Ovis aries: one gene and its partners. Each later gene encodes a partner of the first gene's protein in a complex. Links are inferred from orthologs where the notes say so. Each region holds a gene or a part of one and is shown on either strand. Other genes may lie near its edges. The genes, in order: VAMP2, SNAP25, NAPA, STX8 and CPLX1.

Region 1 (4,005 bases):
GCCTCATTCTTCACTCTTGAGGCTTGTCACAACCCACCGGACAGGCAGCTCATTTACACCCATCGCCTCCTTCCTGAGGGGCCACTCCTGCTGGAAAGAGCACGGTGGGTGGGTGAGAGATGCTGGGCCAGTTTAGACGACCTAAACAGAGACCAGGTGTGGAAAGGGCTGTGGATAATTCCCTACCATGTCTTACATCTAGACATTTAACAAATATAGGTATAGACTCGACACACCTAATACATTTTGGGTCTAGAGGTAGGACAGGAGCTGTTATGTCACACGCATGAGGCTAATCCTTAGGTAAAGTAGTACCAAGTCCCTGCGTACCGCAGGTGCCGCCCTTGCCCACTTACTCTCCATCCCGGTAAAGAAAAGCCAAAACAAAACAAAATAAAACAAAACAAAATGCGTAAGCCTTGTCCTTTAGCCCTGTGCCTGGGATCAGAGGTTGAGCCCTCTTCCGGCTGCCAGGGTAGCTACTCAACTCTGGGTCAGAGCTAGGTTTCTGCCAGTCTGAAGCCACCACATGAAGCGGCCCCACAGGGCAGCGTAGTGCCCTTCTCCCGGGTTCCCAAGCTTGCCCCACCTCAGACAGGCCTCGCCTGCCAAGGAACCCTGGTCTGAACCTCAGTTGCGAGGAGGGGGTTGCTATCACGGTTCCCAGACCTCCTTTTGGATAGCCACTCGCAAGGCAGAGGGTTGAGGATCAATTCCCACCACTCCCAGGATCCCAGCTATTCACACTGCCTCCGACCTGCACTTGCTCCTTCTGATTTCCAACCCCCCTGCTCCTTCCAAATGCTCAAGGCTGCTCAACCCGCACTGGGACGTGGGAGCAGGCTGGGACCTGGGGCTGCGTGGGGTGCGGACAGGTTGACGGCTTTCACCGAGGAGGAGGATGTGTTTGGGGCTGAAGGGCGCCTCAAGGGCCAGGCGGTGGGGGCAGGGGGACCGCGAGGACCTCGGGGAGGGCTGGGGTCAGACCCGGTGGGCTAGTGGTGGGTGTAGGGAGCCCTGCCACCAGGCTCAGGGTTCGCAGGCAGCGAGGGAGAGGCTGGGGCCAGGCGGCGCCGGACCCGCCACCTGGCAGGCCGCGATCCCCGCCCTCGGCGCCCCGCCCCCGCGGCCCGGCGGCCGACTAGTGGCCCGCCGCGCCCCGCCCCCGCCCGCAGTGCCCGGATGTGGGTGACGTGCGGCCGCCATCTTCCCGTCCCGGGCAGCCAGCGCCAGTCGGAGCCAGCTCGAGCCTCCGCTGCCGCCGCCATCACTGCCGCTGCCAAGTCCTCCGCCCGCTGCCCCCGCCATGTGAGTCGGCGCCCGCACCTGCACCGCCTGGCCGGCACTGGCCGCCGCCCTTAGGCCCAGGCCTGGGGAGGGCTCGGGGTTCGACTCGCGTCCCCCACGCGCCCCGCGTCCCGAGACCAGGCCGGCGCCTGTGACTGCGCGCGGGCATTAGGAGAGCCCCGCGTCCCGGGCTGGCCGCGCGGAGGCTGACCGCGAGAGGGGGCGGACTCCCCATCTGGCCGCTCCGCCTCTATCATCGCTGCTGGGTCCACCCCAGACCGTGTCTGTGAGGTCGCCCTCGTTTGACAGGCGGGGAAACTGAGGCCCGAGGGGGAGGGGGCCTCCCTCAAGGTCACGCAGCAGCTCGCCCGCGGGCCCGGACGGAGGCCAGGGCTCGCATCGAGTGGCTTTCTACCCGGCAAGAAGGAAGGGAGGGACGGATGGAGGGACAGGCGGATGGGCGGAGCCCTGGCTGCGGGGCCAAGGGCTGCAGGCCTTGGTTCTTAATCCGTCCCTGCCCCTCAGGTCGGCTACCGCTGCCACCGCCCCCCCTGCCGCCCCGGCTGGGGAGGGAGGCCCTCCTGCGCCCCCTCCAAACCTCACTAGTAACAGGAGACTGCAGCAGACCCAGGCCCAGGTGGATGAGGTGAGTGGAGGTGGTGGTGTCAGAAACAGTGGGAAGGACCCTGAGGGTTGACAAACCGACACGGGGGTCCATTTTGGGTTGGGGGGTGATGGCAGTTCATGTTTGGGTACGAAAATATACCATGGCCCGTCCTTGTCAGCGTGCAAGTATGGGAGGGCCCGTGGGGATGTTGGCCTGGCTAACCTGAGGTGTTTCACCCTGGGTGGATGCTCTGGTGAACGGAAGGCTGCTTGAGGCTCAGTAAATAAAGAGTGGTGCTGTGACATCTGAGCAGTGTGGATACCACATGCCCCTGCTGTGTGCTGCTTGCATTTCTCTGGTGTGCTAGGCATGTTCTGTATATGTCCTTGGCATGTTAGCCAGGCCACATGATGCCTGTTCCCTGTGTGAGCTCATGGTGTGTGGAGGAGTGCCCTTTGAGATGGACCTTGGCACACACACCGCTGCCTTGTGGGCCTTCCCTCAGGTGGTGGACATCATGAGGGTGAACGTAGACAAGGTTTTGGAGCGGGACCAGAAGCTGTCGGAGCTGGACGACCGTGCCGACGCCCTCCAGGCGGGGGCCTCCCAGTTTGAAACTAGTGCAGCCAAGCTCAAGCGCAAATACTGGTGGAAAAACCTCAAGGTAAGGGTGGAGGCAGGTGGGAGGACAGGGAGGAGGTGGGGGGTGAATGGGAGTATCCTGGTCTGTCTCACTGAGCCTCCCCCTCACCCCCAGATGATGATCATCCTGGGAGTGATTTGCGCCATCATCCTCATTATCATCATCGGTGAGTAGGGTGGGAGTGGCTAGGGCCCTTTCATGGAGAGGGTTCCCCTGCGGTTTCTGGGTTTTGAAGGTCATTAACCTAGATTTTAGTATTTAGGAAAAAGTATATATGGTTGCCAGTAGCAGTTCTGATTCATCTAGAGCCCCAAACCTTGAAGTTGTTTAGCTTGCACTTTGCCTGATTCTGGGCCATTTCTGTTAAGATTTTCAAAAACAGGAAGAGCATAATAGACTGGGAACCTGGAATTGGGGAGTGGGAGAGCAGCAGAGACTGAGGGGCTTGAGAAACAGCTGGGAAGCAAACCACCCCATTGTTTGAGAGCTGTGGTCTCAGAGGATTAGGGATCTGTGGCCCCAAGGCCATACCATGGAGTTGAGGAGATCTGGGAACCAATCTGTGTAGATTCCTTGCTTTACAGGTGAAGAACCTGAGGCCAAGAGGGGAAGGGATGTCACCTAGCTGGGAGGTGGGGAAGGTGGGAGCAGGGCTGGGCTGACACACTGCTTTCTCTCTTTCTCTTCCTCCCTTCTCCGTCTTCTTCCTTCTCTTTCCCTCTCCACAGTTTACTTCAGCTCTTAAACCCCTGAGGAGCCTGCCCTGCCCAGAGAAGGGCCTCTCCCCCCAACCCCCAGCCGCTCCTCCACCTCTCAGCCATATCTTCCAGCCCCATCTCCCCCGGATCCGTGTGTGTGTGTCGTGTGTGCGCCCCCTTGTAAATAGCCAGCTGTTATTTATACATATATAATATTATATATATTTGGTCTGTTTGTAGTTTTATTACTAGAAGATTTTTTCCAGTTGTCCTTAACACCCCTTCCTGAGGTTCTCATCACTTCCTTTTCCTCTTTCCCTCCTTCCCTTTCCCTCTCTTCTTGACCAACCCCAAGTCTCCTTCATTTGCATCTGCTATGCAATAGTCCCTCTTCCTCTCCTTCCCTTGGATTTAGCTGACCCTTCCTCCCACCCTGGCCTTCCCCATACCTCCACCCCCACCCCCCACCCTCACCCCCATACAAAAAAGACAAAAAGCAACTGTCCAGGCTTCCCTAGGTGCATTTTCTTTGCATCATTGGGAGGCTCTGAGACTGGTCCCTCTTGGTCCTAAGAATCCCATGGTCTTCTGGGAGCTTCTAGCATGTTAATTAGCATCCATTTGCCTACTGACATTCCTTTTGGTTTCCTTTCCCTCCCATCACTTTTCTGTTCAGTCTTTCAACCTGTGTTTCTTTTTTTACTGAGGATTTAGTCCCTGTTGGTCCTTGTATCACACTTTCATTTGCATGACATTACTTGCAGGTGGTG
Region 2 (4,005 bases), on another chromosome or scaffold:
ATTACAAATTGTTTCGTGTTCTGAATGCCAAGGTGGTAAAGCAGAAAATTCCAGCGAGCAAACAGGCAGGGGCCATCAGAAGGTCTGTGTTAATGTTTCTTGGCAAGTCTTTACATCCATCTGCTTCTGCCTCTTCTCACTGTATTGCCCTGGATTTTTTAAATTTAAAACTTAAGATAGGAAATATCTCGATTTTTTTCCCTGAAGCTTATCAATAATGTAAATGTTAAAATTCATGTTTCAATTACATTTCTGTTTAACTTCTCAGTAAGCCATTAGCTCCATAATTGTGCACATCAACACTTCCTCCCAGATCTGTGCCCTTTGCCAGCTTCACTGCAGTCCTCTACCTCTGCCCCACCGTCCCAGTCTTCCACTACAAACAAACCCAGCAGTAATTACTAATGACCAAGCACGTAATTCCGGAAGCGTTGAGCTTTTTCATTTGTCGCAACTACGCAGAGAGCTGTCTGGACATGCAGCATGGAGTCAAAGCATTTTTAAAGACTCCTAGCCATCTTGTCTCCCCTCCTCCCATCACTAAAACACAGTTGTTTATTTCATCTGTAGACTGCAGAGTTATAAAATTCATCTATGCAGTTACATACACTTCAATAACAATTTTACATTTGTATCCAACAACAGTTGAATATATACTTACATGGAACCACATAGTTATCCATAAAAAACTGTAGAACAGTAGTAAATAAATAGCCAGGAATGAAAAATACTTTCTCTATGTGGATAGGGCATTTGAGCACCTCTAGCATATAAATGACTGGACTTAATGACTAGCCCCAATATAAGATCTTATTTTAAGGCTTTTCAAGGGATCATGCTAACGTTTATTTAATATGTGGTATCTACATTCTTACACATGATGCTGTTACTCTTATTTAACAACTACTCAGCGAGCACAGTTTTGTTCCTGGTCATTTTATATTGATTTTTGTCTATGCCAAATGGCTGGAAATATCCCTGTAACAATTTTTGTTCACTCAGAGGCTCAAAATGTCAGAGTAGAAAATAGTTAAAGTACTTATCACTGCCTCAGCAAAATCCCGCAGTGCTGTAAAGGAAATTACAGTAGATCTTTAGGTCAGAGTCCAGTTTCAGTCTAACACTATGGTCCTTCCATCTGCATCACACTGAAGGGCACGGTTGGATTCTCCGGAGGAAAACCAGTCTTAATGTTGTCAAAATCAGAAAATTATCCTGAGATAACCAATGTCCATAGGAAACACTTCCTCTCATTCTGAAATCATGGCCAAAGAGGTTAAATCTACACCCTGAAAGACCCATAATATTTCTTACAGATGTATTTTTATGGGTATGTGCTTCTGTTCATGCCTAATTACAAAGATAAAGAAGAGGAAGAGGGATTCATTATTGAAGTTGATTTCGCTTAGTTCAATTACCCCCATATTTTTTTTTATCAAATAGATATATGTCAAAAGATATAACACTCCTATAAAGAGATCGTGTTGCCATCTTCATATATACCCTTATCCATGACCACCTAGGATCTGTAGACAGATCTATTTTGTGTCAATAAATAAAACCCCTGATTTCCTACTGGAAGATAAGTACAGATCTTTAAAAATGTGTTTGTTTTCTACCTTAAAAAGGCGGGGGGGTAAGGAGAGGGAGAGAGTAACACAGAAAATTTCCATAAGTAGACTTTTTTCTGAAGCTATACAGGAGCTAAGCATGGGAACTGGTAATTGCCTGCAGAGGGGTCCGGTAGGAAGGATTTATTTTTCCCTTTTAACCTACTATGCCTGCTCTATTAGGGATATCCGAGAGATCGGAGTCTCAGAGAAGCAGTTTGGCCTGAAACTAGCCCTGGCCAGGCGTCTCTGCCGCAGGTAGATGCGGCGCTGTGGCCGGACCGCTATCCGCGGTGCTGAAAGGTGGCGGGCGCCAACGCAGTCCCCCGATGTTGCTGTCCAGGGTGCTGAGCGCGGGCCGCCGCAGTCCCGGAGGCGAGCCCGAGCCCCCGCCCCCGCCAGTCTTCCGCAGAGCCCTCCCACCCAGCACTACCCGCCCGCCTTCCGCCAGCCTGCTGTTGACGTGGAGCAGGCGGCATAAATCAAGTCTGTGGGGCATGGAGGCTGCTGTGGCGGCTGCAGCTCAGCTTGCCCGGGGCGGGAACTCCCCTTTCTTTCGCCTCCCAGCGCCCGCACCCTGCCTTCTACCTAATTTTTCCCTGGATAACAGCGCCCTAACGACAGCAGTCATGATAATAAGGTCAGAACGACAGGGTTGGTTTGTTTTCATCTACAGAAGGGGGGGTGGGGGGAGAATAAAAACAGCAGCCTAAACATCTCTGAAAACTGCATCGCAAAATGGAAGAGAGAGGGTCCCACTACTGTTTCAAAAGAGTAAGTTATTCCGTACGTATTCTTGCGCTTCCACCCCATCGCTCCATCTGCACTATCCCCATTCACCCCTTCCCTAAGCAGCTCACCTCGAAAATACTTTATAAAGCCCTAGGCGAGAGTCTAGCCGGACGCACACAGATGGAATACCGCACCCTGGGTGCACAAATTCTTGTATTTGCTCAAGCTCACTTGGTCTGCCCAGCTGTGGTCCCTTCTGGGTATGCAGCCAGCCAGTGCCAGATCCACGACCTGGGGAGGGGTCTCCTTACCTTGGCTTCTCCAGAGGGTGGTGTTCGCCTGGCCCCTGCAGGTTCCAAGTGTGGAGGAGCCGCGGAGCCGGGAGGGAAGGAAAGACAGCGCCTGACCTCCCCGAGGTTTTGTCTTCAATGCAACGTGAGCTCTGCCCTCATCAAAGATGGCCGTCCCTTTTGACGTCAGCAGCTTTTAATAGCCATCTCCTGGAGGGGCGGGGAGGAAGTGTTGAGGGGAGGGCGGGGGGAGGACGCGGGCGGGGGTGGGAGGGGAGGAGCCGCGAGGTACTGAGCGCTTGACTCAGCTCCCAGCTCGCTTTACTGCAAAGCTTTGTATTTTAGTCTTTTATAAACACCCGAACGGGACTATTCTTATGATTCCACTTTAACACCCAGGCACGGGCAAATTCATTTATCTCTCGACTGGTCTTCTGATATTGTTTTGTTTGTATAGGTGTGTGTATGTATGTGTATGTGTTATATACATGGACTATATGCGATTATATATATACAAAAAATTTCCCCTGCTGAGTTGAGTCTTTGGTTGAGTCATGAAACGGAAGGGGAAGGCAGAGGAGGAGCAAGGGGTGGGGGATTTCAGTTGCAATTTGCTTTAAAAAAAAAGCTGGTCCGAAGGGGCATCCCTGTCAACCCCCACCAGCTCCATATATGGTCAGGCTACGTGGGTTGCTATTTTTATGAGTGATTTCTTCATTTTATCAAAGTAGCATCGAGGGCTTGGAGTTCGCATTAATATGGTCAGTTGCGGAGAGAGACTAGTACACGTTATTTTAAAGTACGTCAGAGCAATCATCACAGAGATTTCAAAGGAGTTGGGGGAAAGGGTAGGGAATGGTAGGTAGTTAACCCAACCAGCGTGGGTTTGCTGAGTTCAAGGCTTGGAGTTGAGAGCTGTTTGAGGAGGGCAAAATAGATGACGCTGTTTGGGATTGAATTTGCAATCGGAGCCTAGGGTTTTATGTTGAACTTCTTAGTCCACAGAGGCGCCGTACATGCCTTATAGGATTGACTAGGCTTCTGGGGAGCGGGTAGTATGGGAACAGCTACAGGTTCAAGGATGCTGGGACGCTACAAAATTCTGCTGGTTCATTCAGTGCGCAAACCCTGGGTACCAGACGAAGCTGGCCTTGCGATGCTCAAAACAAGACGTGGGCGAGAGAAGCTAGTAGCGCTGGTCATAGGAGAGATTAAAAAGAATAATCATAAAGCAATAATCTTGTCCTTTGTTTTGTGCTTTAGGCGCCAAGAAGGGGAGGGGTGGTGGAGGGCGCATATGCAAATAGTCCCGCGGTGGCAGCCTCTCGGATGATTCATAGGTGTTGGGGAGGCTGTCTCGGGGCTCTCCGCGG
Region 3 (4,254 bases), on another chromosome or scaffold:
TCTTTGATATACCTCATCGTGTGTGTGTGTGTGTGTGTGTGTGTGTGTGTGTGTGTGAGAGAGAGAGAGAGAGAAAGAGAGAGGGAGGGAGGGAGAAGGAGATTCATGGTGTGTGTGGGGGTGTGGGGGTGTGTGTGGGAGGGTGGAGGCAGAGAAACAAAGAGATGGAGGCCAGGAGACTTACCTTCTGGAACTACAAGACCTTCCAGGCTCATCCTGTGCAGTGTCCTAGAACCAGCCTTTTATCCAAGGAGCTCTCGTTCCTTTTGTTGGAGAACAAAGAGTATTAAAAACTAAGATCTGGGCGCTAGATATAATTGAACCTAAATTTTTAACAGTTTCACTAGCTTTTTTTTTTTTTAAATGAAACCAGCGTTAGACAACCTCTGCTCCCCTCTGCATACCTCTAAGACATTGCAGGTTCAGTTCATAAATAAAGCCAGACACATGACTTTCCCTTTGTTTCCCAGTGCATGTAAGTTATGTTTACACTATGTGTGTATGTGTGTCAGTCGCTCAGTTGCATCCGACTCTTTGAGACCCCCATGAACTTTAGCCGGGCAGGCTCCTCTGTCCAAGTAACTCACCAGGAAAGACTACTTCAGTCTATTAAGGGTGCAGCAGCATTATTTTAGAAATGTATAATTTAAAAATATTTTATTGCAAAAAAATGCTAATCATTATCTGAGCCAGTCTTAATAATAACATCAAAGGTCACCAATCACAGGTCATCCTAACAAGAGTAACAAAAAACTTTAAAATATTGTGAGAATTATTAAACGTGGCATTGAGACACTAAATGAGCCAATGCTGTTTGGGAAACCGCACAGCTCTGAGAGAACTGCTTAATGCAGGATTGCCACAAACCTTCAATTTGTTTTTTTTTAAAGTGTATCTTGGAAGGGCAAGAAAGCAAAGCACAATAAAATGAGATATGCAGCCTTCTCTGGTCTTCCCAAACCAATTTCAGCATAGGTCGACAGAGGGCGCAACAAAACGGAGACCGCTTTCCTTCTTACCCACGGACGCCTTTCCAAGTGAAAGAGACCTTCAGGAGGTAATGAGAGGAGGCGGGGACTAAGCTCTGCGCAAAAGAGCTGTCAAACCCAGTCTTCCGGCATGGAGCTATCACGTGACGATTAGGGATCAGCTGACTAGGGTCTAAATTCCGCAGGGAAGTCAGACGGAGCCAAAGGCTGAAGTTGATTGGTGGAGCAGGAACAAGCCCAGGAGGCGGGTCCTTGGCGCTGAGGGCTACGATTGGCTTGTGCGGAATCACGTGGGTTATCAACCAGCGCACCAGGCACCCTAAGACAGATACATGCGCATGCGTTAAAAATTGGATCGCTGATTGGAGGCCGTGAATCACGGGGCGGCGTGCCTCGGCTGGAGAGGGCGTGGTCTGCGGTGCGCACGCCGCGCTACGAGGCCGTTGGTTGGCCAGCTCGAATCACGTGGTTCCTGGCCGCAGGAGGCGCGCGCCGGTGCGACGTCAACGCAGCCCACTAAGCTCCCCCGACCTGTCTCCTGCGACCCGGTCGTATCTGAGTTCTCCGAGGGCAGGGCTCCGGCGGTTTGCTGAGTACTTTTGCGGCCGCTATGGACAACTCCGGGAAGGAGGCGGAGGCGATGGCGCTGCTGGCCGAGGCGGAGCGCAAAGTGAAGAACTCGCAGTCTTTCTTCTCGGGCCTCTTTGGGTAAGAACCGCGCGCAGGGGTCGGCCGGGACCTCGGCTGAGAGGACGGAGGAGTCATGCTCTGGGGCGGCGGTAGAGGCGAAGGGCTCGAGCCTAGAGGACGCGGGGGTTTGCGGGCTTACGGGCATGGTCTGAGGCAGCAGAGGGTACAAGCCATGGCCGGGACGCCGGACTGTGGCACTGACAGCGTGATTCGAGGAAAGACTGTCCGAGACTGTGGCAGGGCCGTGGGCTGAGGACACCCGGGCCGAGGCGAAACCATCTGGAGGCAGGAAGGGGCCCCAGGCTGGAGACGGGCCAAAGGGCCAGGGGAATACGGCCTCAGGCCTTGAAGGGAATGTGGCCTGCGGGGACCGAGGGAGCCTGGAGGGAAGCCAGGCTAGGAAGCCTTTTGGAGCTCAAGGAGAGCCTGTTTGAAAGATCCCAGACGGGAGTCTTGGGCCCTGAGACTGAGGACTTATGCCTGAGGGCGTCCCTTTTCCGAGACCTGGGGTGATGGACTTACGTGAACTCTGGCCCGGGCGTCAGGGCTAAGATGATCCTACGATTGATGGACCCAGTCTGAATTGCGTGAAGTGTCTCAGGTGAATATGGCCCAGGTCACAGGTGACTAGTGTAAAGAGACCTGACTGCCAAGTGAGATCTGAACAGAGGAAGCTCTGGGGTGATGGAGTGAAGGCCGAAGAGGGCTGGGAGGCTGGAAACTAAGTGGGAGTGAAGCTTGGTTTAGGAACTGGTGGGATAAAAATGAAAGATGAGGGAGATAAGAAAACCTAAGGGGCCGGAGGCCTGCTGTGTGATCTTTGAGTAAAGATGGGGCATGCAGTGTGAGCAGAATGAGACTGGCATGCCCAGGTTAGGGCTGAAGGGGGCTGGGAAACAGAATCAACACCTAATGCTTGTGGCAGACATTTCACATGAGTTCATGTTGGCTCATAAGAGTTGTTCTGATGACTGTCGTTTGAGGAATTTTAGTGGCTGAGGAGGATCAAAAGCTCAGGTCAGAAGCCTAGGCTCTGCCATTTCTTGACCTTGGGCAAGCTGTTTAACTTCCCTTATTATGGGGAAGTGGTGTCTCAGAGAAACCTGTCTCAGGCATTTGCCACTAGTATTGAAGTAGGGCACGCGTAAAGGGTGTAGAATTGAGCCTGGGACGTGGTTATCACTCTGAAAGTGTTAGCTACCATCAGTGTCATTTCCGGGAAAGAAACAGGTATGGAGCCTGTTCGGGACTGATGGGGATCAAGGTGGGGGTTTGATGGGCGGGACTGATGGGGATCAAGGTGGGGGTTTGATGGGAGAAGTGGGAGGGGGGCTGTCAGAGCAGGGAGAGGCGATGTGATGAGTAAGGAGTTGAAAGGGGTTGGGGAAGGAATTCGGGCCATGGGGACTTGATAGGGTTAGGGGAAGGGGCTTGAGACCTCCGGTGGAGAGAGAGCCAGGGAGGACTGAGGAACGTTGTGTTGCTCTTGAAACTGGGAGGAGAGCTGCAGGGGAACAGGCGGGTGTGTAGAGAGTTAGGAGGAACTGTGAGGAGGGGCCATGGAACCTGGCAGCAGAGAGGCCAAGGCTGGGGACGGGGTTTGCGGGGGAAGACTGGGGCTTTAGGAGAGACGGTGTTAGGAGGTTGGTAAGAAATGAGGAGGAGGGTTCTTCCCCGGAGAGGAGATGGGAACCGCTCATTGTTACAAGTGGTGGATAATGTTTACTTATCCACCGCAAGAACTTGAGTAACCTGGCTGAGACCTCGCTAGTGTGGAAAAACATCCGGGGCTGATGGACTGTATTGATTAGGTGAGGAATGTTTTCTTTCAGAGGCTGAGAGTAGGGAGAGCGTGTCTGTGTTTCTGCTTCCTTCACAAGGGGAGAAACTCAAGTGCAGTGCTTTGTGGTGGGGCCAAGAGCTTAGTTTTCAGTCAGGTCATGGTTTTACTGGGTGGCTTTTGGTGTCTGGTCCCTGGGGATTAGTGTACTGTTGGGCCATGCTTGGAAGGAGCAGCCAAGTCAGGGCCTGAAACACTTTGTCACCTGGCTGGGAAGGCAAGATGAAGACTTGCTAACACACTAGTAAAGCAGAATTGTCACATGTGATTAAGGGCTGCATTTTATCATTGGTGGGAGGTTCCTGACCTGAGAGGAAGCTGCATGAGCTTAAGGAACTCCTTGGTGAGGAATGAGCTGGGCCCCTGGGAACCCTGGGACATGCCACAGGAGTGGGGACTGGAGAGGGTGTTCCAGGCAATGGGAATTGTCTGAACAGAGGTCTAGGGTGAGGGGAGGTTTGTCCAGAAATGATGGGGAACTGAGATCCAGAGAGACCAGGGCTGGCTCCCTGTGGGGAGAAGCCTCCACCTGGGAGGATGAGCAGGAGTTCCGGGGGTGCTCTCTGGTGGGAGAGCACAGCTCCCAACAGAGGAGGCAGCTTGAGCAAGGCCCAGATGTGTGAAGGCCAGCGTCTGAAGGTTTACTGCAGGGGGTTCTGCGTCAGCCCGTAAAGGTAGAACAGGCAGAAGGGGATGAGACTAAAGAACCAGGCCCCATCCCAGAGGGCTTTTTGA
Region 4 (4,008 bases), about 1.1 Mb from region 1:
AGCTGGCCAGTGCGAGAACGGTTTCAGATAGCATTTTTTTTATCCTTATGGCCTAGTGAGGGGGCATTTGGTTCCTTTCAGACGTTTGCAAAACCCATCCCATTCTTTAAGGCCTGGAGCGAGGACATGATTCTAAGATCTTTGGGGAGGAGAGGCTGTCTGGGTCCCCAGTGCTTGACTCATGCCAGCGTCCCAAGCTGCCTTCCAGGTGCCACCTGGTGTCTCACTCTCCCTGGTTGCACCACACTGTCCTTGGGGTCCCTAAACCACCCAGCCCAGACACGCTCGAGGTCTCACCATTGAATCCGATCACGGCCTCAAGCTCCAGCTCTACTGCCTCAGCCACCTCATCCTTGGGCGAAGTTTGGGTCTCCATCATCTGGAGACTCCGCTCACTTTCCTCTCAGCCTACAGAAGGTGCAGCGTCTTCTGGTCGTTATGGTAACGGACTTGCGCATGCGCGCTAGATCCGCGGTCGCGCTGAAAGCCGGCCTACGGAGTCCGAGTCCTTTTGCCCTCGCGAAAATCGAGAGGGCATTTTTTTTTTTTTCTTTTTAAATTTTCTAGTATTTCTCTGGAAATTTAAGGGGCACGAAATGGACAGACTAATTCCCTCCTCCCCCATGTAAAGAGTCTGTGACCTTTTGGGTAACGATATAATCAAATACTTGATGGCATTTAAAAATTAGACAAAGTTAAGTGCCTCTGCTGGCAAGGCTGCTATAATATATAATTGACACTTCTTTGGGTCCCTTGAAGCAGGATAAAACAAACAAACAAACTATTGAGGTATAAATTACATATCCTAAAATTTATTTAAATTGAGTTTTAGTAAATTTATACAATTGTGCAATTATCACCACAATCCAGTTTTTTTTCTTTGTTTTAAGCAGAATAAAATGTTAAATAACTGCTAGAGGTCTTAAGGGGCTCCCACCTTCCGGGGAAAATGATGGGATTTTGCTCGAAAACAATTTTATTTTAATTGCACCCAGCTGTTCGCGTCTCTTAGGACGCAAACTGGTCCAGCCCTCAGTCCCCGGGGAAGCGCTTTCCTTTTTCTCATATCAATAGATTGGAGGCCTTAGGGTATGTATATTGCAAACTACGAGTTCCGGGCGCGCACGGGTCGAGCCGCAGGGTGTGAGCCGCGCGGGCCGCCGTAGTCAGCTGCTGCGAGCAGGAAGTGTCCGAGCTGCGGGCGGAGACTGCACCATGGCCCCGGACCCCTGGTGAGCCCCGGGTGAGGGCGGCAGCGCGCGGACGGTCTCGGGGGAGGCCAGGCTTCCGGGGAGCGGGTGATCGCTAGGCATTGGGGCCGGGGGCCTTTCAGAATGAGGGGTGGGGGAGCAGGGATCCTTCTGCTGCCGCCGAGAGCCGGGGGTTGAGGGGCTGCGCTCCGTCGCATCCCGCCGCCACTCTCGGTCCTGCAGGGGTGGCTGGGGTGGGAGACGCGGTGTACACTTGGAGGAGTTCCAGCGCCGAATCTCTGAGCCGCATCTCCATCCTGGTGGTGGAGCTGGCTGATGCGGGACTCCTGTGAAAGTGAAGTACAGAGTAACCTTTTTGGTGGAACCCAAGTCCCTCTGGTCAATTTCCTTATTTCGCCGGTAGCGAAACCGAGGTTCAGAATTCACGGGAGTAAGCGAGTTAGTAACCAGTTGACGCTGGGGTCTAGATCTTGTGCGCCCTTCAAAGAAAACTTACAGGAATCTGGGAAGGAAATTATGCCTGTTGTTGATAAGGTATTTTGTCCTCACCTCAGTATCATGAAGACTGTCTACAGCAGCAACTTATGCAGTAAAACAGTAGCTGAGAAGAGTCTTTTATTCAACAGTAAAGTCCCTAGGACTGAATGATGAAAGGCACAAATTCCGATCCAAGGAACCTACTGCAATAGCATATTCACTTGAGCTTTTCGTTTACTAATTAAAAACCGTCTAGCTCTACAAAGTTCTTTTTGGAGAATATGTCTCACATTAGTACTTCTAACATAGTTTATAGTTAATTTGCAGACAGTCTGGATATTAATAGATTAACTTTGCAAGATCAAAGTTAATCTACCTAGGATCTGGATTGTCTGGACCAATGGCTTAACTGATTCCATACTATTTTTTTTTCACCTGATTTTAACACCCTGATAGAAAAATTTAGAAAATACTGAATATTTGCAGAGGGAAAAAAAGAAAAAAGAAACATCCTTAATTCTATCATCTGGAATAATTGCTGTTGACTTTTTAAATGAATTTTTTACTTTGTGTAATATATGTGTGTATATAATGTATTTTATAGAAACAGAGACCATTTCTCTGTATCGCAAATATTCCCTGAAAACACAATCTTTATGTTGCTTAATAGTGTATCATGTGAATAACCATGATGGAGTGTGATTTAATCATTGTCCCTTTGTACCTTTTTAAAAAACACTACGGTTTTTTTTGCTTTTATTTTTTTTAATTGCCCCTTGGTACCATCTCTCACTTCTTTGACTTGCTTCCTAGAAGTGGAGCTACTGGGTCCAAGAGTATGAACATCTTTAAGGCCCTTGATACAGATGGCTGCGTTGCCCTCCACTTCATGGAGGCTAATTCCCTCATTTTACACATAAGGTAGGATATATAGCTCAGAAATAAGGTAGAGGTCCCAGGGTATCCATTTAGATGGGTGGAAACTATCCCCAAGCCCCTAGGCCTCTTCCTTGGTTAACGTGCAAAAAGCACTGATAATTTCTCCTGCTACTCTGAAGAAGTTTAACTTAGCAGCTTTCTCATGTTTGTTGAAAGTGAGACACTGGGGGACTCTGCTGTGCTCAGTCAACTTCCTTGAAAAGTGGGCTGCTGATCAGGAGAGCAGAAAGGAGTAGGGAATAGGACTTAGAAAAATCTAGAAAAACAGACTTGATTACAGCTTCGCCCTCCTGCGATCGAGAATCATGTCAGTGATGCTTTACTCATGTTTGGAAGTAGAATATGACTGTTACTCTTTTAATGGCATATCAAAGCAAATGGTAAGCTCACTGTGTGATAGAAATATCGCATGGTGACTGTCTCTGAACAGGCTCTTTGCTAAAAGTTAATCAGCTTTATCACTTTTTCGCTCTCCATTCCAGTTCCTCAGCCTCTGTCATGGCGTCACCATCCTCTTAGTCTCTTAAACCTAAAAAACTCTAGTTATCTACTTTTTCTTCATTCGTCCTGTCAGATTATTGACTCATCTCCATGATTTTTATTTTTTTCTCTTCTGCTGTTGTCCAATCCTTTATAGCCTTATGGTTTACAGAAGTAAATGTTGGTGGCTAGTTATGGAGCTGAATAGCTGGAGAAGTCTTCTACTGGTCTCCTTTACTCTTCTTTCATTCCCAATGATTTGTGTACATGGAGTTCAGGTTACTTTTCCTAAACTAGCACTTTAGGCGCCTGTGTGTTTGATTCCATCGTCAGGTTGCCCATTACCACTAGGCCAGTGGTTCTCAAGCTGTGCTATAGATTGGAATCTCCCGGGGAGCTTTACAACTCCTCACGTCTAGGGCAAGGCCCCTGCCAATTCAATCAGAATACTTGGGGTATGAGGAAGCTTTAAAACACGTCCCCAGTGATTCAGGGGGTTTCCAAGGTACTTCAGTGGTAAAGAATCTGCCTGCTGATGCCGGAGATGCAGCTTGGATCCCTGGGTGGGAAGATCCCCTGGAGAAGGAAAGGGCAACCCATTCCAGTATTATTGCCGGGAAATCCCATGGACAGAGGAGCCTGGCAAGCTACAACCCATGGGGTCACAAAAGAGTTGGACACAACTGAGGACTTGCAGACCAGACAGTGATCCACATGTATAGAAGAACTTCAGAACCAGTTTGTAGAGCTCATGTGAGAACCAAGGATTAGGAGCAAGGCAACTGGGGTTTTGGCCGTAAGCGTTTCACATAACCTCTTCAAGGCCTCAGTTTCTCTGTAAAAGTATACCCCACAGTTCTCAAATTCCCTTCAAACCTTATTATTATGCTACTCAAGACTC
Region 5 (3,509 bases), on another chromosome or scaffold:
AATTTTGACCCCAGGGGATATTTGGCAATATCTGGATACATTTCAGGTTGTGAGGTTGGGGGTGGGGGCATGGGGCACCCCATGGGGCACCCCACCCCAGACAGCAGGAAGGGGCTGCAGGAAGTGGGTCTGGGGCCTGGGGGCCAGCGAGGGCCATTGGGGGAACCACTCCAAAAGGTCAGGGGTCCCACCTGTGGGGGCAGGGGGGCGGGAGGGGGTCACCTTGGAAGGCCAGGTTGAGAAGGGCTCTGCAGCCACGGGGGACCAGGCAGGGCCAGGGGATGTGATGGGGGGCGGCGTCGGTGGGTAGGGGGCTCCAGGCGCAGAGCTCATCGTCAGGATGTCTGGGGAGAGAGGGCAGTGGTGACCCCCACCCTGGATGGCCGGGGCAGCCTGTCCTTCCATAGCCGCGCTGTCCACCTCTAGGGTCTTGTGGGCAGAGCGGGCTCCTCTCTGTTGAGCTGGAGGCTCCTTGAAGGAGGTAACCAAATTCTTGGAGACCAACACTGAGGCTGTGAGGACCTGGGGCTTTGGGGCTCTAACATCCAGAGTGCATCAGACCCTGAGCTGCCTCCGACCCATGAATGGGGGCACTCATCATCAGCCTGTCTCCCCTGAACACCGACAGGCCTGGCCCCCACCTGTCAGACTCAGCTGCGTGTGTCGGCATGCTCCCCAACACACCACACCTTCCCTGCAGGCTGCCCCCAAGGACCAAGCCCTGGCCCCCTCGTCCCGCCTCATCCTCTGGTCGCAGAAGCTGGGCTTGGGCTGGTAAGGAAACTGCGGCCCCAGCCCCTGCATGGGGTGGGGCCCAGCTCTGACCCCTGCCCAGGCAACTGAACTCAGCAGACACCATCGTGCCCCATGGGCGGGTGAGACCAGACCCTGGACGTGCCCAGGAAGGAGGCCTGGGCCCAGCAGGGAGACCGTCCACCGTGGCTGATGGAGCCGCGGTGGGTCTGGGGACTGCCAGGGTCCAGAAGCGGCCTGGGGTCTGTGGAGGCAGTTCAGAAGCAAAGGCACTCAGCCCACCCACGGGGGTCCCAGATGGGGGTGATGCTCGTCTGGGGAAGCAGCACCACTGTCCAAGCGACCCCCGGGGCACCAGGCTAGGGGGCCGTGGGGCTCTGCCCAAGGCTGCAGCCTTCCGTGCTGTCGCCCTGGAAGCTGGGGTCCTGAGGGTGGGGGTGGTGAGGGTCGCCCTGCCCCCTGGCCTCCCATGGAGCTGCCCGCAGGGTGGGGACACACCCTCCATTTTCACTGGGACTCACTTTGTGACTTGTGAGTGCCACTCGGTTCCCTGAGGAAGAAAAGGACGCTGGAGCTGATGCCTGTTCACTCACTCACTCGTTTGCTCAGCATGCAAGGCCAAGTGCAGTCAGAGTCCCTGCCCTCCCTGCAGGGGATGGACAGTGAGCAGCAACCCAGTGAGAAGTGTGTGTCAGAGGAGGGGGGCTTCTCAGGTGGCTCAGCGGTAAAGAGTCTGCCTGCCAAAGCAGGAGGACACCGGAGACTGAGGCTGATCCCTGGGTCGGGAAGATCCCTGGAGGAGGAAAAGGCAACCCACTCTGGTACTCTTGCCTGGAGAACCCCACGGACAGAGGAGCCTGGCGGGATCGCAGGGAGCTGGACGCAACCGAGTGCGCAGGCATGCTCCCAGATGAAGGCCGGTGCGGAGCGAGGAAGGCAGGAGAGGAGCGCAGAGGCGGCAGGGCGGCGGGGCCTCAGGGAGCCCCAGAGCGCAGCAGCCAAGCAAAGGCCCTGGGGCAGTGGGAGCCCTGAGGGGCAGTGTCCCCACGCCCCTGGGGCTGGAGCCCCAGGGAGATGGGGCCGCTGGACAGTCTGAGGAGGGGAGGGGCAGAAGGGGCTTCCTATTACAGGCAGAATGCCTGAGCTGTCTCTCTGCCTTCTGGCCCCTCCCCGCCCATGGCTGCCTCCCTCTCTGCTGTCTGTGTGCTCTTCCTGGCCCTTCCCCAAAAGGCTCTGAAAGTCTTGTGGTTGGTCCTGGGGGTGAGGGTCTCATCAGCTGCTGCCCCAGCACAATCAACTTAAACTTTCTGCCCAGAAAGGTGTCCAGTGACCAGTGACGGGACACCAGGGTGCACCCCACCCTCCATCAGCATGGGGGCCCCCGTGGGCCCAGAGACCTGCAGGCGCCCGCCTGTGTCCGCATCGCAGAGGCCCTGCGAACCAGGCAGGAGGGAGGGGCTGGGGACTGTGGAGACGCCCTCTGGACGACCCCTCTGCCCATGCCCGGTCCCCTCCCACAGGCTTCAGCCAGTGTCTGGAAACACTTCCCTCAGGGCCCAGAGATGGGAGTGTCAGGGGGAGCAGGACAGAATTGAGAGGCAGCACCCCCAAACTGAGTCCCCCCCCCCAGGTCTCTGGGTGGAGAGGCCTGGCCCGTGTGGACCCCCGAGTGGTGCTCAAGGCCCAAGACGCTGTGGACCGTGGGAGGCCACGTGCTTCAGGACATCGTGGGGCCCTGGGGAGGGCCCTTGCTTCTCCACCTGGCCTGCAGGCCGGCCCACCCTGGAAGAGGCAGGAGCAGCTGCCCCATGCCTGCCCTTCCGACCCACAGCTGGGTGGGCACCTGAGGGTGGGCAGTGGACAGGCCCCTGGGGCCCGCAGCTGACAGCCTCCCATGTCTGCCCCTGCTCTGGCCTCGGGTCCCGGCCGGGTGTGTGCGCATGCCGTGCACACAGAGGAAGGTGCCAGAGGGTTCTGGAAAGATGACCTCGAGCTCCCAGCCCACCCCCAGCCAGCCCACACAGCCACAGACCTGCCCCCAACACCCTGTCATTCACCTCAGGGGCCTAAGGCCCACCCGGGCGGGGTCAGGGGCATCCTCCAGCCCAGGACGATTCACCCACCTGCAGCCCGCCGGTGGGCCAGCCCCTGGCCGCCCTGCCTCTCCTCTCCAGAAGGGCCTGCCCTCCAAGTCCCTGGGGGCAGTCCTGGGGGCAGCCACGGGAGCTTGTCCTACAGAAGCCAGCACGCCAGCCCGGGATCCTGGGAGGAGGGGTCCAGCCCCCGCCACCGGAGCCAGGAGGACTCGGACCGCAGGGCGAGCCCCAGGCCCGGTGAGCGTGTGCAGACGCGCGCGCTGGGACGCGGGATCTCCCCCGCCCGCCCCCTCCCCGGGGGGCCCTCCGCGAGGTCCGTTCTGCGAGCCTCGGAGGAGGGCGGGCGGCGGCCCAGCCCGGCTTCGCCCAGCCCTCGCGCAGGCAGCACCCCCAGCCCGGCCCCGGCCCCCGGTGCCGAGCCGCCGCCGCGCCCACCTTGTCGCGGATGCCCTGCCGCACGGCCTCGCGCTCCGCCTCCATCTTGGCGTACTTGGCCTTGCGCTCCTCCTCCTCCTGGCGCAGCGCCTCGCGCCGCTCCTCCTCCTTCTTGGCGGCGTCAGGGTCCTTCTCCTCGTCGCCCCCGAGCATCTTGCCCATGTCCTTGGTGGCCCCTGGGCACAGGAAGGCGGGAGTCAGGCCAGGCCCGGCTTCTCCTTGCCC

What was found.
Region 2: the proteins of VAMP2 (region 1) and SNAP25 are in contact, whole or in part, in a crystal structure (PDB 1SFC), measured with the Rattus norvegicus proteins. The link is inferred for Ovis aries from reciprocal best matches to the Homo sapiens genes VAMP2 and SNAP25. Residues at the interface, in NP_036795.1 of Rattus norvegicus: Asn25, Thr27, Ser28, Asn29, Arg30, Arg31, Leu32, Thr35, Gln38, Val39, Glu41, Val42, Ile45, Met46, Asn49, Lys52, Val53, Glu55, Arg56, Lys59, Leu60, Glu62, Leu63, Arg66, Ala69, Leu70, Gly73, Ala74, Gln76, Phe77; in NP_112253.1 of Rattus norvegicus: Gly131, Gly132, Phe133, Ile134, Arg135, Arg136, Asn139, Leu150, Glu151, Ser154, Ile157, Gly158, Leu160, Arg161, Ala164, Leu165, Met167, Gly168, Ile171, Asp172, Gln174, Asn175, Ile178, Asp179, Ile181, Met182, Ala185, Asp186, Asn188, Lys189.
Region 3: the proteins of VAMP2 (region 1) and NAPA are in contact, whole or in part, in a cryo-EM structure (PDB 3J97), measured with the Rattus norvegicus proteins. The link is inferred for Ovis aries from reciprocal best matches to the Homo sapiens genes VAMP2 and NAPA. Residues at the interface, in NP_036795.1 of Rattus norvegicus: Gln36, Ala37, Asp40, Glu41, Val43, Arg47, Val50, Asp51, Leu54, Glu55, Gln58, Lys59, Arg66; in NP_542152.1 of Rattus norvegicus: Arg116, Thr118, Lys122, Ser157, Ser159, Ser160, Lys163, Leu197, Tyr200, Ser201, Lys203, Arg239, Ser268, Ile269, Arg271.
Region 4: VAMP2 (region 1) and STX8 share a complex: the UniProt entries of both Homo sapiens proteins name them as parts of the SNARE core complex. The link is inferred for Ovis aries from reciprocal best matches to the Homo sapiens genes VAMP2 and STX8.
Region 5: the proteins of VAMP2 (region 1) and CPLX1 are in contact, whole or in part, in a crystal structure (PDB 1KIL), measured with the Rattus norvegicus proteins. The link is inferred for Ovis aries from reciprocal best matches to the Homo sapiens genes VAMP2 and CPLX1. Residues at the interface, in NP_036795.1 of Rattus norvegicus: Arg47, Val50, Asp51, Leu54, Asp57, Gln58, Ser61, Asp64, Asp65, Asp68, Ala69, Gln76; in NP_074055.1 of Rattus norvegicus: Leu41, Arg48, Tyr52, Glu56, Arg59, Glu60, Met62, Arg63, Ile66, Arg67, Tyr70, Gly71, Ile72.

Annotation. Positions count from the first base shown.
Region 1 is NC_056064.1:27,613,616-27,617,620, reverse strand, and holds the start of VAMP2 (vesicle-associated membrane protein 2), read left to right. Parts: upstream 1-1,204; 5' UTR 1,205-1,306; coding exon 1,307-1,308; intron 1,309-1,812; coding exon 1,813-1,933; intron 1,934-2,399; coding exon 2,400-2,558; intron 2,559-2,651; coding exon 2,652-2,703; intron 2,704-3,265; coding exon 3,266-3,282; 3' UTR 3,283-4,005. UniProt on the Homo sapiens protein: Involved in the targeting and/or fusion of transport vesicles to their target membrane. Major SNARE protein of synaptic vesicles which mediates fusion of synaptic vesicles to release neurotransmitters.
Region 2 is NC_056066.1:3,295,096-3,299,100, reverse strand, and holds the start of SNAP25 (synaptosomal-associated protein 25), read right to left. Parts: upstream 2,802-4,005; 5' UTR 2,654-2,801; intron 2,251-2,653; exon of another isoform or gene 2,095-2,250; intron 1-2,094.
Region 3 is NC_056067.1:54,244,472-54,248,725, reverse strand, and holds the start of NAPA (alpha-soluble NSF attachment protein), read left to right. Parts: upstream 1-1,452; 5' UTR 1,453-1,599; coding exon 1,600-1,697; intron 1,698-4,254. UniProt on the Homo sapiens protein: Required for vesicular transport between the endoplasmic reticulum and the Golgi apparatus. Together with GNA12 promotes CDH5 localization to plasma membrane.
Region 4 is NC_056064.1:28,677,264-28,681,271, reverse strand, and holds the start of STX8 (syntaxin-8), read left to right. Parts: upstream 1-1,203; 5' UTR 1,204-1,215; coding exon of another isoform or gene 1,216-1,232; intron 1,233-2,501; 5' UTR 2,502-2,526; coding exon 2,527-2,609; intron 2,610-4,008. Other genes in the region: CFAP52 (cilia- and flagella-associated protein 52), read right to left, coding at 298-379. UniProt on the Homo sapiens protein: Vesicle trafficking protein that functions in the early secretory pathway, possibly by mediating retrograde transport from cis-Golgi membranes to the ER.
Region 5 is NC_056059.1:118,209,476-118,212,984, reverse strand, and holds part of CPLX1 (complexin-1), read right to left. Parts: intron 3,461-3,509; coding exon 3,285-3,460; intron 1-3,284. UniProt on the Homo sapiens protein: Positively regulates a late step in exocytosis of various cytoplasmic vesicles, such as synaptic vesicles and other secretory vesicles.